Coturnix japonica: one gene and its partner. The protein of the gene in region 2 interacts with the protein of the main gene of each other region in a pairwise test. Links are inferred from orthologs where the notes say so. Each region holds a gene or a part of one and is shown on either strand. Other genes may lie near its edges.

Evidence for each region. The genes of interacting proteins can lie anywhere in the genome.
Region 1: the proteins of PEX6 (region 2) and PEX26 come close enough for resonance energy transfer, tested with the Homo sapiens proteins (2 studies listed by BioGRID). The link is inferred for Coturnix japonica from reciprocal best matches to the Homo sapiens genes PEX6 and PEX26.

What each region holds. Positions count from the first base shown.
Region 1 is NC_029516.1:50,688,551-50,692,247, forward strand, and holds the end of PEX26 (peroxisome assembly protein 26), read right to left. Parts: intron 3,047-3,697; coding exon 2,943-3,046; 3' UTR 554-2,942; downstream 1-553. UniProt on the Homo sapiens protein: Peroxisomal docking factor that anchors PEX1 and PEX6 to peroxisome membranes. PEX26 is therefore required for the formation of the PEX1-PEX6 AAA ATPase complex, a complex that mediates the extraction of the PEX5 receptor from peroxisomal membrane.
Region 2 is NC_029518.1:13,974,451-13,978,196, forward strand, and holds the start of PEX6 (peroxisome biogenesis factor 6), read right to left. Parts: upstream 2,750-3,746; 5' UTR 2,735-2,749; coding exon 1,823-2,734; intron 1,750-1,822; coding exon 1,586-1,749; intron 1,208-1,585; coding exon 1,124-1,207; intron 556-1,123; coding exon 453-555; intron 259-452; coding exon 122-258; intron 5-121; coding exon 1-4. UniProt on the Homo sapiens protein: Component of the PEX1-PEX6 AAA ATPase complex, a protein dislocase complex that mediates the ATP-dependent extraction of the PEX5 receptor from peroxisomal membranes, an essential step for PEX5 recycling.

The DNA.
Region 1 (3,697 bases), on a different chromosome or scaffold from region 2:
CCAGAACAAAAAGCAGAACATTTGCTGTTACATCTGGAGATACCAGTGTGAAGTTTGCATGCACGTGGCAAGCACAAATATCCTCTCTGAACAAGCCTTAAGTGGTAGGATTCCAATGGAATTAACACAACTGCATCTTTTCCCTCCACGATACATTAACAATGCAAAGAAAAACAAAGATCAAGACAAGTACCAGGTAGTTTATTCTCAGTAGTTCTGATCTTGGCCATCCCAAAGGATATAGAAACACTTAAATATATATATATATATTTAAATAAATATATATTTTAATATATTTTAAATAAATATATATATATATATATTGCATCTTTCACAGAAAATAATTATTACTTTCTGAACTCCTATGAAAATGCAGACATGTAAATCTCTACTTAATTAGCAAGTCTGCTACCTGATTCCAATATACTTGTACAACGAGGACACATATGAAACATTTCCAGAACCTATTTCAAGGCTCTACAGCATGAATATATTAAATGCTAAAGCTCTGATACACTTAATCACAGCACAAATAAGCAACTCTACAAAGAGGTAAATGAGTAGTCATTTTATTTTATTGTAAAAATTAAATATTGCAGGTTTAGCATTCATTGCAAAAAAAGAAAGATCGGTTGTTTCTGCTTTCATCCCTCTCATGGAAAGCTAAACACAGTTCAAATCCAGTATCAGTAGTACTCAAAAGAAGTGGAGGTTGCCAACGTACCAATAAAAACAAGTTGAATGTTGGAGTTCTGGTAAATGAATGGCTGTGATATTTAATGGAGCTCTACACATAACATATGGTCTGCCCTCTGAACCCATTCCCCATAATGCAGCTCTGCCATTTAACTGGAAGAGTTAACAGAAACTGAGATTTAAAAAGTGGCTGTTAGCTGAACGGTCACATATTGCTTAGAATTTAGTCTGACTTCAAAAGGAAATTTATTGTTTCATGAACTACTGGTTTACCAAGTCTTTAGAGCAAGGTCTTGCAACTAGGTGGCCAGTAGATGCAATCCAGTCACTTTCTGCAAGAACTCAATTCCAGCCAGACCCTCTGTGTTGGATTCTACCTGGTTTTCCACCAAGCACTGGCTGCAGGGAAGTGTGGCTACACTGATAGTTAGATGACATATATCATCTAGCAGTATCAAGAACTGCTCCTCCCCGTATACACGGTATATGATAAATATATATTTTTAATTGGGTGAAGCATTGTGTGCTACTTGTTCAGTTGTTAAGTCCAACTGAGACAAAAATTCCAGGGGAGAGAGGATAGGAATGTCTTGTAGTTTTACTTTTTTGTTTACCTGAGATAACTAGGCAAGGTGATGACAGCTTCCTGCATTCATAGGTGCTCCACTTTATCTCACACGAACACCAGGGTACTTCTCTATCAGGATAACTCAAGAACAATATAGACAAAGCATGACTTTTAGCAGTAAAGACACAGACTTTTCCACATAGCCTGGTAGGCTGCAAAGTGACAGAGCACACCAACAGGCTGCTGTCCTTGTAAAGAAAACTGAAACAGCCACTACATGTGCAGAACCATTGCTAGGAACAAATGATTGATTTGAAGGAGGATACCACAGTAAGATGCTGCAGTGGGACCTATATTGGCTACCCTACACAGGCTTGGTGTGTTGGATAGAAACTGCCCAACCAAAAAGGAGACTTTGTTTCTCTAAGGTGGATGTTGGTCAGCCTGAATCATCTTGGCACAGATGCAGGAATAGCTGGCTACATTTGCCACATGGCTCTAACTTGTTTTCTCCAGCACACATGCAGCGTGTTAGAAGCAATCCTGAAATAGTGCTCTCTCCCTTGGCACTCACTCACTGCTAATCAGTGGGAATTAATTGTTCTCCTGCAGACCTCCAATCTCTGCCCCAGGTGATCAGAAACAGCATCAACTGTAAGACCTTCTGTAAAGACAGTAACTTTCTTGCCACAGCTGTGGGGATCTCAGAGTTTCGACCAAACAATTGTCTGCTCTGAATGACAGAGCATTGCTGAATGGTTACCATGTAAATTAGGACTTTATGGGCATAGGAGGAAGGTTTCTAGACATACTAGGACTTGCTGACATCTTCATAAACAAAGCGAGAGGTGGGGAAAGAGTAAAACAATGCAACAAGCTCAGTGGTTCAACTAGACAACAATGTGGAACATAATTTAAAAAAATAAATTTCATTACCACTGGCACAGGCTCCTACAGATTACCATGCACCAGGCAAGCACAAGGTACTATAATCTGCATTTAAGATCTGTAGGTGCAGCACAATAGTACTTGTAGCACACCACCTCGGCTTTCTGCCATAGATACAATTAAAATCAAGAGCGCCTGTATGAGGAGGCATCAGTCACAAGAGAAACCACGGTGTTCAAAACACAACATGCTTCATTTCCTGCAGTGTTTTTCTTCCATGTGCTTGTCCTCAGCCCCATGCTAGAAGAACTGGGATCTGAGATGTCATCAGGCTCAAAAGAATATTCCCCCTAATTACACTGTTGCTTTTAACATTCCTGATTCCAGGAATGCTGTTTCAGCTGTTCAGGGAACTGCATCATATGTGCAAGAATGGAACCATCTTCCAAACAGGCATCATACTTCATAACTGTCTACACAACTCTCACTCAAGAGCCACAACCAAAGTAAAGTGTTTCAAAAGGAGGATCTTAATTAGTTGTAGATTACAGAAGGAGTGGATTTACTCTGGTGTTGGACAGAACGGCACCAAATAGCCAAAGTAATGTCAGGAATACTTGGCATGGCTTCAAAATTCATACACCACCACTCCCTGTCTGAAGGAAGGAGAGGACCACTTCACAGGAGATCACAGGTGGTCATCTGCACTAGGACACTGATTTCAACGGTCCTTGAAGAACTTCATAAAGTCCTCAAGACAAGCTGACATAGGAGCAGAGGCAGAAGACATTTAGTCTTGAATTGGAGGCCTGTGGATTGGAGACAACACAGCTGCCCAAGCCTGTCGGAAGAGCTGCACCAGTTTGCAAATGAACGGCAGGGATGTAGGAGAAGCTGCAGAGCAAAACAAAGAGCAAGATAGTTCTACCCTTTGAAACAGACCAAACATATTAAGAAAGGACTAATTCAACTACAGCTAATGGAAACCTAGGTGTCTTATTTCCTTCTGTTCAGTTCAGTACTTAGGCCCTCACCCTGCTGCCTACACACCCTCGCTGCTCCCTTACCTAGCAAGGTCTTTTCAGTATTTTCCAACACATTATTTGCAGCACAGCTATGGAGCACCTGCCACCCAGCAGAAGGGGCATCTCCAGGTACGAAAAACATGCAATCCCTCCACAGCCCAGTAGCCTCTGTGTCACGCAACCAGCCCATTCTTCAGAGGTCAGGCAGTGGAACAAGCTGCCCAGGGAGGTGGTTGAGTCAGCATCCCTGCAGGTGTTCAAGAAACATGTAGACACTGTACTAGGGGACATGGTTTAGTGGGAAAATACTGGTGGTAGGTAGATGGTTGGATGGATGATCTTGGAGGCCTTTTCCAACCTCAATGATTCTATGCCAGCTTCAGCCATCACTTGTAAGGCCTCAGTATAAGAAAATCAGAAGCATGACCATGATGCTGCCCCTGAGCAACTCTGCTTCCCTGACAGGTCAGCCCTAAATTGCAGTTGCTCTGCCAAGAGACTTTCACCTTGTAGCACCTCA
Region 2 (3,746 bases):
TGCCCTGTAACACCAAGTCAAAACCAGAGCTATAATCACATGTGTGTCTTGCACATCCTGAAGAACCTGAGACCCAAGGTTCCAGATCTCCTGAGGTTTGCTAGAAAGAATTTTAACTCACTGACTGGTCAGATGAGGCCTAAGAGCATCACAGATCTCCTTCACAACATCGGAAAGTCCAGCAGGAGACAAACTGCTCCAGAACTCGTGGCTGGTATAGGCTGGGGCAGATGGGACGGCGCTGTTTGTTGAACCCACCTATGAGGAAAATCAGCACTTTGTAAAACATCTGTTGAGAAAAGACAATGACCAACTGACAGCCTGTCCTGAAAAGCCATTTCTCAAGAGCAAGAGATGCAAGCCTCCACAGGCACATTTATCCTGTATTGAGCAATACAGGATAAATTAGGCTCAGATCTTGCGGAAAAGCACCCTGCTCTCTGACATCTTACCAGGTACAGAGAGGTGTTTTGGGTGTCTGCCAGGTAACCCTCGGACTGCAAGCCTTCCACCGTGCCTAATACCTTCCTCACTTTGAAGTAAAGCTCCGGCCACCTAAAGGAAAAACAAGAAGTCTGAACTGTTGAGTCAACATCTTGAAGGCAGGAACACCTTAAGCGCACAAATGGAAGGCTTGTGCCTCCTGTGGTTCTGCCTCCCTCCAAAAAATCACTGAAAAATATTCATCATAGGGTTATATTTCTAAGTTTTAAAATATATAATGGAGCTGAATAATGTTCAACACGTAAATCCAGCACAAACAGTTCCACTTTCCCTTCCTTATGCAGTAGTGGTTGTCCTACATCCACCCCTTCCTCCCCTTTGCTCCCGCTCTCTCAGCTCTTGCCTACGTAAGCAAAGGGAAGCTGCAACCATCCCCAACCCAACAATGTTTCCCCCTCTCTGTAAAAAAACTGGTATATAAGCTCTCAGCCAGCAACCCTTTCCATGGCAGGGGGTTGAAACTGGACTATCTTTAAGGTCCCTTCCAACTCAGGCCACTCTGTGACTCTATGGACTCCAAGGACAGAAGAGAGCAGAACCCATCGTCTTGTTTCAAGGAGGAGAAAAGCACCTTTTCTATTTTGTACCTGTATAATAGAACCAGTTTACTGCCACTTACCTAAGGAATTTGTCTGCATTTCCATCTAAAAACTCAGCACATCCGAATGTTGGGATACAGAGAACATCTCCCTCCTGGACCAGGCTACAAACAACAACAAAAACAGCTTCAGAAGTGAGAAATGATAAATTCTTCTTCAGTATCCACTGCATACCACATGTTTCTACAGAATTGAATACAGCAGTTAACACCAATCCAGTCCTTTCTGTATTCTGACACTGGGAATACAGAGGGACTGAGGATGCGTGGGATGAAAGCAGGTGCAACCAGAGGGAGAAGTGCGATGGACAGTGACATGTGGAAGTGAGGCCTGTGTGAGCTTAAGGGGAGATTCACCATGGCATCAGGAATATCCCGAGCTGGAAGGGCCCCACGACCATCACCGCATGCAGCTCCTGTCCCCACACCGCACCACCCACAATGATGTGAGCGGACATTACAAAGCCTCCAGCTGTGTCTCACCGGGGTGTCTGGAAGTGCCGGTAGAGCAGGTGGTCGTACGTGGCTCGTGTGCAGTAGGCCGGTGAGCAGACCATCTCGACGTGCAGCTCTGCGGCAAAGGGCGGCACGGGCAGCAACGACCGGCTTCCCTTCCCTTCGGCAGCCCCGGGCACACCGTCGTACCTCTGCGGGGTGACGAGACACGCCGTCATCCTTCCGCCCCGCGCCCGCTGACCCCCCGCTCTCCCCGGTTCTCACCCGCAGACAGACGTGCGTCCCGCCGCCCGGCTCGCAGCCCAGGTTGAAGGCGAGTGCTGGAGCCAGCAGGGCGGCGCCGTCCGGTGTCCGGCGTCGTGCGTTCCGCGGGTATTCCCATGCAGGCGGGTATTCCCACGCAGGGGGCCGGGCCAGCAGCGCGGCCAGGTGATGCCGTGCCGACCCCTCTGCGCTCACCCGCACCCACTCGCCCTGGAACAGCCCCATCGCCATCAGCCCGCGCCGGCTGACCCACACCTCGGCCCCTCCGCCTCCCGCCCCGCCGCTCGGGGGCGCCGCTCGCAGCCGCGGCCCCTCGTCCCGCCCGCGGCCGGCGGCGAAGCGAGACACGAGCGGCGGGGCTGCGGGGCGGCGGCAGGGGGCGGCGGCTCCGGCAGCGGCAACGGGCCCGGCCTCGGCTTCACGCGGCGGCGGGGCGGCGAGCGCGACGCGAGTGCCGCTGCCCAGCAAGCCCTGCAGCGCCGGCCGCGCCTCCAGCACCACAGGGCCCGGCCCCGGGCCCGGCCCCGGCAAGGCCTCTCCGCGCCGCGCCAGCACCGCGCCGCCCGCCGGCCGCCCGGCCCGGCCCGCCGCCCCCAGCAGCACCCAGAGCAGCGGCGGCGGGCGGCGCACCGGCCACACGGCCACCCTGCGGCCCGCGGGCAGCCCCAGGCGGCGCAGCACCGCCCCGCGCAGCCACAGCTCGGTGCCCCTCCGCCCGGCCGCCTCCAGCGCCACGGCGCTCAGCAGCACGGCCTGAGCCCCCACGCGCCCCGCCGGCCGCACCGCCAGCACCAGCCCCCCGCCACGGCCCCGCACAGCCGCGCACAGCGACGGCGGAGCCAGCAACAGCGCCGACACCGGCACCGGATCCGCCGGCGGCGCGTCCAGAGGCCGCAGCACCGCCACCGCCATGGGGGCCGGATACACAGCAGAGACAGGGCGGAGCGCAGGCGCGGACGGCTCCCATCGCGGGCCATAGAGTAGCGAGAGGAGCGCGGAGCCTCGCCGCCATGCGGCATGGAGGTACCGCGGTACGGAGCAGCTCCACTCAGGCAGCCGGCCAGGGAGGGAGCTCATTGAAGCCTTCCAGTACTTCGAGGGAGCTTATAAACCGGAGAGGGACGGACCTTTTCCATGGCCGAATAGCGACAGGACAATGGGGAGTGGCTTTAGATTAAAAAAGAAGAGATTTAAGTGAGATATAAGGAAGAAATTCCTGACTGTGAGGGGCTGAGCCCCTGGCACAGCTTACAGAGCTGTGCTGCCCCATCGCTGGAGGTGCTCCACGCCTGCTTGGTGGGCCCTGAGCAGCCTGAGCTGGGGGGCAGCCCTGTTCACAGCTGGGGGTTGGGGCTGGGTGGGCTTTGAGGTCCCTTCCAGCCCAAACCATTCTGTGCCTCTATGAACCATAGAACCATAGAATTACCCAGGTTGGAAAAGACCTTGAAGATCATCAAGTCCAACCGCAGCCTAACCAGAACCCTAACTCTAAAAACCCTACACCAAATCATATCCCTGAGTACCACATCCAAACGGCTCTTAAACACAACCAGGGATGGCGATTCAGCCACCTCCCTGGGGACCCCATTCCAGTACTTAACTACCCTTTCTGTAAAGAAGTTCTTCCTAATATCCAACCTAAGCTCGCCCTATGAAATGTGCCAGGCCAGCAGCGCTCTCCATGAACCACCCCTCACAGCACAAGCTGAGAGCCAGGAGCCCACCAGGCCCTTCCAGCAGAGCTCTGCATCCTACATGGTGACAGGGACGGGACCGTGGTGTTCCCCCCCATTGCAGTAGCTGGATGCTGATGGCTCTCAGCACTATGTCCAGTGTGAGGCATAGAGCCAGGCCATCTGCATGCAGGCAAGGCAGGGGAAAAAAAAAATGATTCCAAGCATCCAGTGCCAGCGCGACACGGCCC